Oryza sativa Japonica Group: one gene and its partner. The protein of the gene in region 1 purifies or fractionates together with the protein of each later gene. This does not show direct contact. Links are inferred from orthologs where the notes say so. Each region holds a gene or a part of one and is shown on either strand. Other genes may lie near its edges.

Region 1 (6,492 bases):
CCAGAAGCTTCATACAGAGGACTATAGGTCTATAGGACTCTATAAGAATGACATATTATAACCATGTTTGTGAAGGACCAGACCTATAGCATCATCTTCAATGCAATGCTTAAACCATCCGCCCACATGCTCATGGAAATTGTTTTTCTTTAATATGATCACCATATAGGGAGTTTTACTATTTTATACAGTTGACTAGTTGAAAAAGGAGGTGTCCCACATGTATAACTGAAATTGAAAGAACAAGATGCTGACAAAGAAGAAACTTAGTGATATAAAATAACCTAGTGACTTACTTGTATAAATCGGAACAGAACCAAAACTTTATCCAATATTCCCTCCAGCTCTTCTTCGGAGGTACCTTTATTTCCAGCTCGAAGTTTCTCATCAAGAAACTTCGCAATCAATTCAGCAGGTCGATTCTGTTGGAAAAAAGGGCTTGAGCTGATCTTTCATAAAATAAAACATAGTACAAAGAAAGAAAATGCAGGATAAATTACACATCTACTTAAGTACAAAAAAGCAACTAGATAACAATGAACATCAGAAACAAAATGTATTGGTACCAGCATATCTCAAATCTAAGAATTGAGCTTTCTGTTTATCAAGTATCACAGCCAAACTGGACTGCGATAGGAAACCAACATAAAGCAATATGTACAAGGACAGCACAGTTCTTAAACAAATGGCCAATATCAACATGTCCCAGCAAGTCAAAAATCAAAGAATCAAACAGTTTAGCAGGCTATAAAAGGGAAGACTGACTGTAGTAGGAAAGCAAATTACAAAATATTGTGATATAAGATATGAACTCAGTACACAAGAAAGGAAAAAAAATATTGTCAAGCAGAATCATAAATATGGCCTACCTGGCGTAAATTGATAAGATGTTCGAATGACTCTTTTATTGTATTGGAGAAAGCCTCATTTTTGGCAAAACTTTCCTCCAATATTCTATCAAGCGATGCCTTAAATTCCAGAAGAAAGGGCACCAGTTCTTTGTCCTTTTCTTCATCCATGATAATGCCCTGGCCTGTGCCCCGAATATATGAACTAAGTGCTTGCTTTAGCAACTCAATGGCATCAACCCTCTGGAAGAGTGTGTACATCCTCGAGAGGTCTTTTACACGATTTGCTTCCATAAGCATTGTGAATCCCTGAACAGTAAAACATCATATGCCAGGTCATGAATGAGACAGTGGCTAAACTAAATTAGTGGCCAACAAATATAATATATTGATAAAGTAAACACCTCTTTTCTATATATTGATCTAATGGGTCAACTAGAAAATGCACCATCACATTCTTATTCTGGCCAGATAACAAATCCTACAGTTGTAAGAGCAGATAATCACCTTCTCAAGAATTGCAGATGTGTGCCGCTGCAATAATTGCTTTTCTGTAGCTGTTATAAGCGGCTTCCTAGTGTTAGCTTCCAAATATAGAATACACCTTTCATGTTCTTCTTGCAACCTTGTCTGAATAATTCATGTGAAATACCACCAATTGCATAAGTATACCTGAATTTTGTGTGAACAAAATGCAAGGGGAAATACAAGAGGTTTATCAATACCTCCACATGCTTGAGATAGTCTGGAATATCAGACTGCTGCAAATATTTAACACCTTCAGTAGCATAAAATTCAGATGTACACTCCAGAAAGGGCTTTTCAAAACTCTCAGAATACATTCCAAGAGCAGTAAACATCTTCAGAAGATGACTAAGTAATGTCCTGTCTATTGCTTCACCAAGCCTGATAAGGAAGAGATGGTTAATGAATAATCAGTTACATAGAAGAATATAAAATAAATTGACCCTTCAAGTCCACAATTTTAATAATTTAAAATGGACCCAATACATACACTATGATCGCCAGCTACATCACACAAGGTAAATGCAATGACAAAACTTTTCTCAAGTAAACTGATTACTCTTTGATATGTAATGGAGTATACAATACATTGCACTAAGTCTGATAAGGGTACTTTTTACAGTTGACCATTCAACCCAGATCTCTGAACAATTCCCAAGTGAATCAGAACATGCATTACAAATTTTCATCATTCCATGTTTACGCCCACCCCCACCCCCCCCCCCAAAAAAAAAACACACACACACACACACAATAAGACAGGTAATGCACACAACATGGCTCAGTACAGCAGAGTAGGCATACCTCTCACTCTCAATTAATCTTAGAAGACCAGTAACAGTTTTGTGTTCAATCTCCGGAGACAGTGAAAGATGCTTGCGGAATAGCTTCAACCCCATGTCCCACACTGAACAAATGTTTGCAACATTCTTGACATATTTTACATCAAGAAGTAAAGCAATACCACGAATAATCAACATCTGATCGCAAAAATCTTGCCATGTTCTTTGCACCAGAGACAAAAATACTACTAAATCTGGACTTTGACCCACTAATGCTGATATTTTTGCCGATATGTGTACTTCACATTCTTTCTTTATGCGTTCGTATAGATTTGCGCCTAGCTTGTGTAGACAAAGGTCACCTGCAGCCTATAGTGAAGAAAACAAGTTCTAAATAACTAAAGTGGGATCATCAAATAGAATAGAAGCAATATAAAAATTACCTGGTAAAGTTTTTCAACATCGCACGAAAGTTTCTGTTTTAGAAATATAGCTGTAATAGCATCTTTCAAAATAGCCCATGTATCCTCCTCAAAGTTTGTTGGCAATTTTGGCTGACCTGATACATGAAAAACAGATGGGATATAATGAACAAAACAGAAAAGGGATGCAACAAGAGACGAATTCCGGGGTGGGAGTAAATCTTTAGTTCTTGTTCGGCAAATGGGTTATGAGAGGTGGGATCGGGAAAGGGAAATGAGTGAAGGGCTACAATGAAATGGAGTGGTTAGAATGGATGGCTAGGATGCAGTGTTGCATTTTTTATGGGTGGATATTATTTCCCAATCTCATTTGCCAATCACGCCAAAGGGTTGCAAAAAATACATCCAGAAGATCCCAGGGGTCTATTATCTAAGAAAGAACATATGGCCTTCTGAATTTTCTTATACAGGTTACTAGTTAGTTATGGTGGGTACTGATTAGTGAATAGTGACTGGTGCAGGGATTATTATTATATATGACTCAGAAATGAATAGATATTAAAGGTTAGAGCCACTGCAACATCCATTGCACAGAAACGGATTTTCAGCTTTCTCCTGAAGACTAGAGAAGGTCACATACTGGAGATGCGAAGCAAAGCTTCCAATAAATACCGACAGTTACACCCAATAAAGAGACAAAAGAGTGTCAACTTTTAAGCAATCTAGCTAGAAGCCAGCTCATATGGTGCAATACGACCAAATGGGGAGCAGGAAGTCAGAAGAACCATACAACTATGCCCAAGCTCACTTGTCAACTGCATTAAAAAAGGCAGAAATCCTTGATGCATATTCACGCCCAACAAAGCAAGCCAAGATAAACAAGCAATTACAAGGAATTGAACATACATATATATCTCAAGAGAAACTAGACGGATTGTTGCTGACGAAATCATTAGTTACCCTAGCAATTATCAATTTCCCCCAAAATAGTCCAAGTGTCTAGCCAAATTCCTCTTTACAAATAGACACGCCAATTAGTAAATAGAAAACAGAAGTGTGTGACGAAGCGATCCATTTGACGAAAGGGCTAACGAACACCACCTCAATCCCTCCCTATTATTGGAATTTAAGTTAACGACGCAAGCGGGCAAGTGAACACACTGAGAGGAACAATAGAATTCCCCTCAATTTACCCCCGAAACCCCTCGATGATGTATTCTCACATGGAAAACGTGCAATTACAGTGAAAGAGAGGGACCTATTTTGATTCGGAGGGGCTTGCGGGCGGCGGATGGCTGGGGGAGTGTGGCCTTCTTCCGGAAGAGGTTGGCGGCGACCCCCGCCGGGGCCGATGCGCTCGGAGCGGCGAGCTCCTCCTGGTCGGCGAGCACCATCTCCGCATCCTCCTCGCCGTTGGTGCGCCCACCGGTCCGGGCGGCGGCGGCCGTGGGATCGACGTGGAGCCCGTTCTTCTCGGTGACCCCGGGGGCGGCGGCGGAGGAGGAGGAGGAGGAGGAGCCGGGGAACTTGGCCTTCTTCATGTGCGGCTGCGCGGGGGAGGTCGGGGAGGAGGCGGCGGCGGAGGAGGAGGAGAAGTGGCCGGGGCGCTTGGGGGCGGTGGCGTGGGGGTGAGACATGAATCAGATGCCGAAGCGCATGGCGCGGCCGCACCGGCGGCGGCGGCGAGGCCCGGGGTAGGATGGGTGGTAGGTGGCGGCGCGCCGGGGTTTTGGGGGTGAGGCCGCCGCACGCCGGCGAGGAGGAGGTGGGGGAGTGGAGACTAGAGAGAGAGAGATCGGGTTGGGGGAGGAAGGGTTTCCCCTTTTCTTTTCTTTTTTTTCTTTTTTTTCCTTTTTCTTTTTCTTTTTTTTATTTTTTATTAGGTGGGATTTGCGAGGCCGTAGCGGCCCAAATTAAGAGTGAGAATGTGGGCCTGGAGTTCCACGCGGCCCAGTTTCCTTTTGTTCTCATTAGCCCAATTCTGTTGCCGCCGCCTTGCCCTCGCCGCCTCTGCCTTCTGTCGAGAACTCGAGATCGAGAATTCGAGATATCCACGCGCAGTCAGATATGGAGAACTATAATCTTCATCCCTTTGACGGGATCTTCTTTCGTTTGTTCAAAAAATTCATCCAAACGGTTATAAAAAAATTAGCAACACTTGTACTACATGCCTACTGTACAACCTCACAAAATCTCACGTACAGACTCAACTCACGCATCGAAATGTTAAAAAAAAAACTCAACTCACGCATCAAAATGTTAAAAAAAAAAGACAAATTCAGGTATGACTAATAGCTATTGTTTACATCTGATCGAATTTAAACTTAATTTTTATACCCATAGACACCGTTATGTATGTTGTTAATTCCTTTTAGAATTTTTTGTAACTATCTACATTAAATTTGGAAGAGAGAAGAGAAAGATATAAATTAAGTTGTGTTCAGGGATTAGAATCCATTCACACGCAAATACCCTACCTGTCTTCGTCGTCTTTCTGTCTGATTCGCCGGATTCGCGATCATTGCCTCAGCCTTTGGTACAGGGAAGGAATGCACCCACAGAAGTTACAAAAAGGTTCAGGCAGAAGAATAATACAAAATGAAACCCGTCCAATTTAAGCGCACAAAAAAAAAACAATTGCATTGCATCCCATAGTCTTCACCCGTTTCCTCACCATTTCTCGCTCAGCAGGCACACTGAATAAGCTTGGCCAGAAGCGCAAAATATGACAACAGATTTTTCGCGATCAAAATTCATTGCTAAAAACCGTTTAGCAACACAGCTGATAGATATACCCATCAGTCACACCCTCAAGAAAAGTGAAGCATTACAAACATGGAAGAATTGAGTGGTGAAAGCGAAACGTGCTCAGGTTCAGTGACAATTAAGGTTCGGTTGCCAATCCAACATCGCCGTTTTTTTGGCGCTTTGTTGAAGGTTCATCCTCTTCATTCGTTGCATCTCCTCCGGTTTCTGTCGTTGGATTATTTGGCTCGGCCACCTTTTCATCTTCGGTGCTGGCAGCACCGTTGATAACACGGTTGACAACGTCTGGACCTAACAGAGAAGCATGTTTACTTGTAATCTTCCGACCAGCTCTGATTTTGGGACCCCAATGACGTTCTGGGTTCGGAAGGAACCGCTTGACCTTCTTTGCTTGAGCCCTGCTGAGGGCAGCAGCCGCTCTAGAGAAATTTGCCTATGAAAACACAAAGGAAGTTAGAATGCCATCTAACTGAAAGGCATAAAAGGACTGCTGCACGTTCAAGAAATGCATACTTCAAGCTTGGGTGATTTTGAAAGGATCGCTGTCCCTACAGAGTCATGTGGTTGTTCCTTTACAGGATGATTCTTCACCTGTATGCGAATGTCACAATATTAGTCAGAATACTAAAAAAAAACAGCATTTCTAGTAAACTACCCACAATTTATACTAGCAAACACAATATGTTAGGAAAGTTATGGCAAAAGGAATAAATGAATGTACCCAGCAGCGCATGATGTCCCAAATAACATCCCAAGGGGCATCAGTTTTTAGTCCAAGTGGATTCACATGTGTGCTAGAAATCCGATAACCCGCATTTAGGACTGCAGATCGGAACAATACTGCAGATGGAGATGTGCATTTAACATTAGCACATATGTTGTGGAGACTGAAGAACAATGGGATGTCATGTAACTCCTGCATCACAATAATAACAAAATGAAGTTTAAAGAAAATTTTAAAGAGTTCGTAAACTATAAATAATTTCTCAAGAGTAAATGAGTGAGCCATGACAAACAAATGCAGAACTAGATGGCCAACTAATTTATTACTTGTACATGGTTTAACTAAATTACTGCACATTTGGGCAATAATTTTCCTGTTGAAGTGCTTTACATATCTATGTTCTAGTGAGAAATGGATTACCAAAA
Region 2 (6,492 bases), on another chromosome or scaffold:
TGCTATAACATTTTTTGAGTACTTGTTCCAGCTAAGGCAGCTGAGTTTAGATCTAGTAGCCATTTCAACAACTGGACAATGCACATCTGATGGTTCATTAACAACCTACGACATAAGATAGGCCAAATTTGAGTATTTTCAAATACTATACAGGCATATAGCTATGGCCAACATAAGATTCCTGAAAAAAAACTTACTGTAGAAAACTCGAAGACTTTGATGCGCTTTGAGACTCCAGCAGTAGCAAATAGCTCATCATCACGGTCAAATTCGATACTGCATTTAAGAAATATCAATGTGATTCCCTATTCTCATGTAAGGTAGGCGACTGAAAAACATATGAGATTACAGATAGACATGGAAATGAAAATTATGCACCAAAAAAACAGGCACAAACTTATAGTCATATTTTGTTCCTTATAATACATGATAAACATCAGCATTCAAGATTAGTGGATTTGTTTGCTAATTGAACATAGTTGAAGTTTGACTCATAGGAGCAATAGACCATCCCCCCTCCAACCAAAACCTCTCCTCAGCTCACTGCTGGCTTGAGGATTCAGCTATGACAACATCCACATTGCCAATAGCATGTTGATGCACATGAAATAAGGCACATATTTTGTAAAAGCACTAACCTTGATACGATATTTGCAGAGTGAAACAGATCTCCATGTCTTAGCTCCGCAATTACACGCAAGCGACTGAAGCATAAATGACAGAGAACAAAAGAATGATAAGCCAAATGAATAGGCATAACCACTACCATGATCATAATGTGCTAAAAAGGACAAATAATCAGCGGACCTATATCGTGTGAATGTTGTTAGCACAGACTGGAAATCCTCAAGTCCTGCATGATAACCTTCTTTATTTATTGTTACTATGTCTCTTTCCTCCAGCCTACGTGATTGTGCTCCGGTACGCCGTCTTTGAAGATAGTATTCTTGAAGCTCGTTAAACTGCAATATGCCCCATAGCACATTAGCATTTCATCTTACATCAAAACAAAATAAACATATAAGTTCCTAATCTAAGCTGTCTACATGCTTGCAATATGATAGTACCAAACTATCAAGCGCGCAATGGGAGAAACAAACCTGAGCTTGAACTCGCCTCTTCCGAGCAATAACGTTGCCTGATTGAATAGGGGCACTAGGAGGATCCGAGCAAGTGAGAACATCTCTCCTTTGAAATCCTTGATGACTAATTTGACCTTTCAAGTCAAGCTTCTTATTCTGTAAACCCCCTGGATTTGATGTACTAAGTGGTCCCCGAGAGTTGGGAGGAAAGAGACCACTAGGTTTATCCATAGGTGAGGGCCACATCTTTGATGCAGCAGGTTCATCCAAAAGCATGCGGAGCTTCATTGAGTACCTTTCTTTTGTTCGATATAATTCTAACCTATGTCTCTCCACAGCACTTATATCTTCTTTGATGTACTGTAGGTCAGTTTGAATCTGTGTAAAAAAGAGGTTAACATGATTAACAACAATAGACATCAGTAAAAGATTATTTATTGTTGTAGGTAGCAAGAAAAAAAACCTGCATACTGAAAAATACATATAGACAAACCTCATTCAGCTCTTCCAACTTTTGCTTTCTGAGGCAATGCAAGAAGACCAGCAATATTTGCATATTTGTTTCTGACTCTTGCTGTTCCATATGCCGCTTCTTCTCCGCGATCAAAGTCATAAGACTATCTAGTTCTTTAACCGCCATATCGTTTCCCTAGAAAAAGAAAGAAGAATTAAACTAAAACATATGATAGTGTTTGGTCATCATTCATCTATTACTTATTTAGAGAACGTCAGTTTTATGTTTGAATTTTGAAACAGATATAAAGTCAGCAAGGTAGTGCAAATCTATCTTCTGTGGTATACTTGGTTTATCATATGGACAATCCTTGTAACAGTTAAGAGGACGATAGAGATCATGTGGCTGTAAGAGCGAAGGAACAAAAGATACTTTGATATCGGTCACAGTAGCTTAGATTCTACAATTGATGCAAGAGATAAGCATGTTCAGTGTAGAACTTAATTACTACTCTGTACTACTTAGTTCTGAACTGAAGATCACAAGCACAGCTAAGGTACGGAAGCAAAATTTTCACAGTACATAAAACCATTTAGGAACATACCACTATGTTTAAGGAGCTATTGAAAGTAGACATTTTCAAAAGTAAAACATGTGAAGTGACTGACCTGTTGCAGTGCATATCGAAATTGGTCTATCGGTGATGCTGTCTTCGCAATTTGGCGAGCTGACATTTTCTTCAAGACCTATGCAGACATAAATGTGATAAACATGCTTAGAGATACATTTATACAATCCCAGTATCAAGTAACCAGTAATTACAGCTTGTTTTAAGTTTTAACAGAACTAGAGAAGAACTCTAGTGATGAACAAATTATATAATAGGTACTGATAACCAGAGCAGACATAGAACTAATACTGTCCACTGCTGGTGATTCTAAACAAAACTTACATTAACAACAAACTGTAATGTACCGTGCAAGTCAAATAAAACTGAGCTATCCAATCAGAACACCTGCTACTACTTCAGAAGCTACCACAAACAGTAGTACAATAAATCGCAGCTCAAGCGCTGAATACTGTTGAATAGTTGCTACAAACGAATCGAAAGGCATACTGTTGAATAGTTGCTACATTTGTTAAAATTGGTTATACCGGATACCTATCCCAAGCCACATCCAAAGGTACATTCAGTGACATTTCAATTTTTTTTTTTTGCGGGGCAGTGACATTTCAATTACAAAGCCCTGCGTTTGAAATTAGGATAGGCATCCAAAATTCCCAATCGATCGGCGGAATATGGAAGCCACGGCCAATCCATTATCCATCTCGGCTGTGTAAGCAGAACGAGCAAGCAAACCTTGTCGAGGAGGAAGTTGGGGTAGAGCTGCGCCTTGGTGAGGTAGTTGCCGCAGCAGGGGCAGTCGCTCTTGTGGCTGAGATGCGTGACGATGCACATGTAGCAGAAGCTGTGGCCGCAGGCGGTGAGGAAGGCGTCCTTGATGACCGCCATGCAGATCGGGCAGAGGAGGTCCCTGTCGGCCGCGGCCTCCCCGTTGCCCCCCGCGGAGGCGCGCGCCCCCGCATCCTCCTCCCCCTCCCCCGCCACCGCCAACGCCGCCGTGGACGCGTCCCCCGACGGCGCCTGCTCCTGCTTCGGCACCGATGGCACCAGCGCGCCGGCCACCGTCGAGTCACCCATGCGGCAGGAGGAGGCCGCCCTGCGGTGGTGAGTCGAGCAGGCGGCGGCGGTGGAGGCGGCGACTGGGCGTGAATAATTGCATACGAGGGGTGGGTGGTGGTGGTGGTGGTGTGGTGTGTGTGGGAGGGAGGGGCGGGTGGAGGAGGAGGGAGGGGAATTGGGTTCTGTGTGTGGGCGTGGAAGCGGAAGGGTGTATGGGTGGGAGGAGACCACGTCGGGGTCGGGGTAGCCTCGCGCGCCGCGGCGCTGCGGGCAAATGTGCGTACGCGAGGAGGCACGCACACGACGACGGCAAACTCCGTCTCCGTTCCTCTCGAAGGAAAAAACGAAGTTTGCCGGTCTCCCAATGGAACGCGTGCTTTCGATTTGCGCATTTAATCCGAGTAGTTTGGTTTGCTTAATCCGTGCGAGGAATTTGGCAGGTCGGGACGGACGCGTCGCGAAGCGACCGGGGGAGTGGTTAGAGTCCCAATTGTCCTCATAAATGAAAACCAAAAATTAAAATTTCAAACTTGAGAATTTTAGGTCGCTAAAACATCTCTGTAAATTACTACTACCTTCATATTTTAATATATGACGCTGTTGACTTTTTATCTAACGTTTGATCATTCGTCTTATTCACAAAGTTTATGTAATTATCGTTTATTTTATTGTGACTTGATCCATCATCAAATGTTTTTTAAGCATGACATAAATATTTTCACATTATCACAAAAAATTTGAATAAAACGAATAGTCAAATATTGATAAAAAAAGTCAACGGCACCATACATTAAAATACAATACGGAGGGAGTACTTTAATTTAGGTAACCGATGAGTAACCTTAGTTTCAGACGTGCTGGGTCCGGTTGTTATGTGGGTTACAAAACAGCGCTGCATTGAACAAGTGGGTGTGGTGAAATGGATGTTCTGTTAGAAAATTCTTGTAAGAGAAGATCATGCGTGTTTCTGGGATCATTCTCCGTGTAAAAAATGCATCATCTCCATGGCCAAATTGGCCACTGGATGCTATCACTGACCCGGTGCGTGAGCCCGTGGCCACCACACGAATTCTGTACGGCTGTACCGTATTACAGGCAAGGGTTTATATTTCCAATCGAGGTCCCGCTCCTGACCCTGTCAGTATAACGGTTTTCACGAAAACCGTCAAATTTCAAACAAAATTAAGAAGCCAAATTCTCAAGTTCCATTTGCCCGTCAATGAAAAATGATCAAAATCACCGAATTCCAACCGGAACTACCAGGATTTCAGTTGATTCGAACAGGAAACCACCGTTCCAGTGTTTTGGAAACCAAACAAAAGCATCTAAAACTCATTGGATTTGCTGAAAAGCCAAAGAGTAGCGTGGGAATTAATTGTGTTTTCTGAATATTTGGATAATAGGGGAAAATGTTTGAAATATGAGAAAATTCATGGAGATGATAGGAACATTGCAAACTAAAAGGATATCAAAATGGGGAAACCGTGGAAACGTGGGAAAATGTAAGAAATTAATAAAGAAATTCAGCATGACCTTTCCTACAATTTGACAACCTCACATTGAGAATAAGCGCAATGTATATTCATGAACACAAATACAAGATAATTTGAAGTCCATATCATTGACAATTAAATATGCATAACCAAATATATGTTACGCCATTAACATCAACACGCATAATATAAAGTACATCAACACAATACAAAGTACACCCACAATCAATACATACTGTAAAGTGCATAAACAACATAGTATAACAACAATACAAAGTCCATAATATAAAGTGCATACACAATCAACACATATTGTAAACCCTTCTAGATGTCTTTTTTCAATTTACCAATTCAGTTGTTGTCCAAAGAGCATTTTCATTCTACGCCTATATTTTTTGACATTTCATATGCATGTATTTACTACAAATGTAGGACTATTTACAAGTTATTTTTAAAATATTCTTCATAAATTTTCAATTCAAATTTGAAAAATTCTGAAACGATTCAAAAATTCCAACAGAATTTGCTTTCGCGCTGCGTTGAAACGTCAGAGTTGTGAAGTGTGAACCCTAATCTATCTGATCAAAGCCTTCTTTTTTTTTGGATTGATTTCATCCAGGAGAGATGTCAGCTAGACAGAGACGATCACTGATCACGCGACAAGTTGCCATATCAGAGACCTCAGGCTAGGGCAACACACTGCCAGCACTAACCCATACTTAACGAGGACTGGGGTTCAGTTTATAAAGGAGTCAAGAGTTCAGGACTGATTCGATGACCGATTTCAGTCTTGCTACATTCTATCACTGTCTGGAATGATAAGACAAACCAAAAACGAAATTTCAATGTTTTATACTACATCCTATCGATCTATCTGAACTGAGAAGAGACGCTGACTGAATTGCCTAGACAAGAACATAGAACATCCAACTCCATCACTAAGAAGCAAAATTTTGCAGGTAATGCCTGTTCACGATATAGTTTGCAGGTAATGACCAGGTACACTTTCTTATGCCATGGTAAGGAACGCCGAGCTACTACTGTTCACTTCAGTTCAGCTCACCTAGTCACTCGACCAGCTCAGCGAGCACCTTGGTCACCTCCTTGGTCAGGTCGCCACGGCGCAGCACCACCGAAATCTCGGCAATCCTCTGCTTCTTGATCTTCATGTCCAGCGCATGCGCCTTGTCGTCATCGAGCTTCCCGAAGTCCCTCTTGAACAAGCCAGGGTGTGCCGCCTCCAGCAACTTGACCTCCTCAGCGAGGTGCGGGTACAGCTCGCACATCTCGCCGAACTCCCTCGGCGCGGTGGTGGTGCCGTTCACCGCCGCCGCTGCCGCCTCGCTGCCCCAGACGCTCTTGGAGAGGTCATAGAGCCGGCGGTCATGGCCCTTGCTTGGGAGATCGCCCTTCTTCTTAGCGGTGGATTCGTAACGGCGCTTGAGAGTGCTGACCTTCCCCTGGAGCTCCTTGCGGCCGTAGCCAGTGTTGTCGAGGCTGCCGGCGAGGGTGGCGATGAGCGCGTCGGTCTGTGGCAGCGACCCGTGCTCCCGGCGGTGCGCCGCGAGCGCCTCGAGGATGCGCACCTCGTCCTCGGTCGACCAGATGCGGTGGAAGGCCTGCCTCTTGGGCGACGAGACCTTCGGGCCATTCCCCTCCGCCCCCTGCTTCGGAGCCGGATTCGGCGGCGGCGGCGGCGGCGCCTCCGCCTTCTCGGATTCGGACGACTCGTCCTCTTCCTCATCGGACGAATCATCCTCCTCGCGATTCTCCTGCGGT

The links. Proteins that work in one complex are often made in the same cells at the same time.
Region 2: the proteins of cullin-4 (region 1) and E3 ubiquitin-protein ligase COP1 purify together in Arabidopsis thaliana (affinity purification with western blotting, with the first as the bait; 3 studies listed by BioGRID). This does not show direct contact. The link is inferred for Oryza sativa Japonica Group from reciprocal best matches to the Arabidopsis thaliana genes CUL4 and COP1.

What each region holds. Positions count from the first base shown.
Region 1 is NC_089037.1:33,641,544-33,648,035, reverse strand, and holds the start of cullin-4, read right to left. Parts: upstream 4,375-6,492; 5' UTR 4,215-4,374; coding exon 3,836-4,214; intron 2,715-3,835; coding exon 2,599-2,714; intron 2,525-2,598; coding exon 2,178-2,524; intron 1,755-2,177; coding exon 1,574-1,754; intron 1,479-1,573; coding exon 1,356-1,478; intron 1,158-1,355; coding exon 870-1,157; intron 423-869; coding exon 297-422; intron 1-296. Other genes in the region: tRNA (guanine(26)-N(2))-dimethyltransferase 1, read right to left, coding at 5,462-5,776, 5,857-5,934, 6,065-6,259. UniProt on the Arabidopsis thaliana protein: Component of the CUL4-RBX1-CDD (COP10-DDB1a-DET1) E3 ubiquitin-protein ligase complex which mediates the ubiquitination and subsequent proteasomal degradation of target proteins. Participates in the CDD complex to light-mediated control of development.
Region 2 is NC_089036.1:33,025,407-33,031,898, forward strand, and holds the start of E3 ubiquitin-protein ligase COP1, read right to left. Parts: upstream 3,584-6,492; 5' UTR 3,239-3,583; coding exon 2,897-3,238; intron 2,283-2,896; coding exon 2,205-2,282; intron 1,732-2,204; coding exon 1,576-1,731; intron 1,461-1,575; coding exon 1,101-1,460; intron 963-1,100; coding exon 808-962; intron 705-807; coding exon 639-704; intron 277-638; coding exon 198-276; intron 106-197; coding exon 1-105. Other genes in the region: probable transcription factor At1g11510, read right to left, coding at 5,781-6,492. UniProt on the Arabidopsis thaliana protein: E3 ubiquitin-protein ligase that acts as a repressor of photomorphogenesis and as an activator of etiolation in darkness.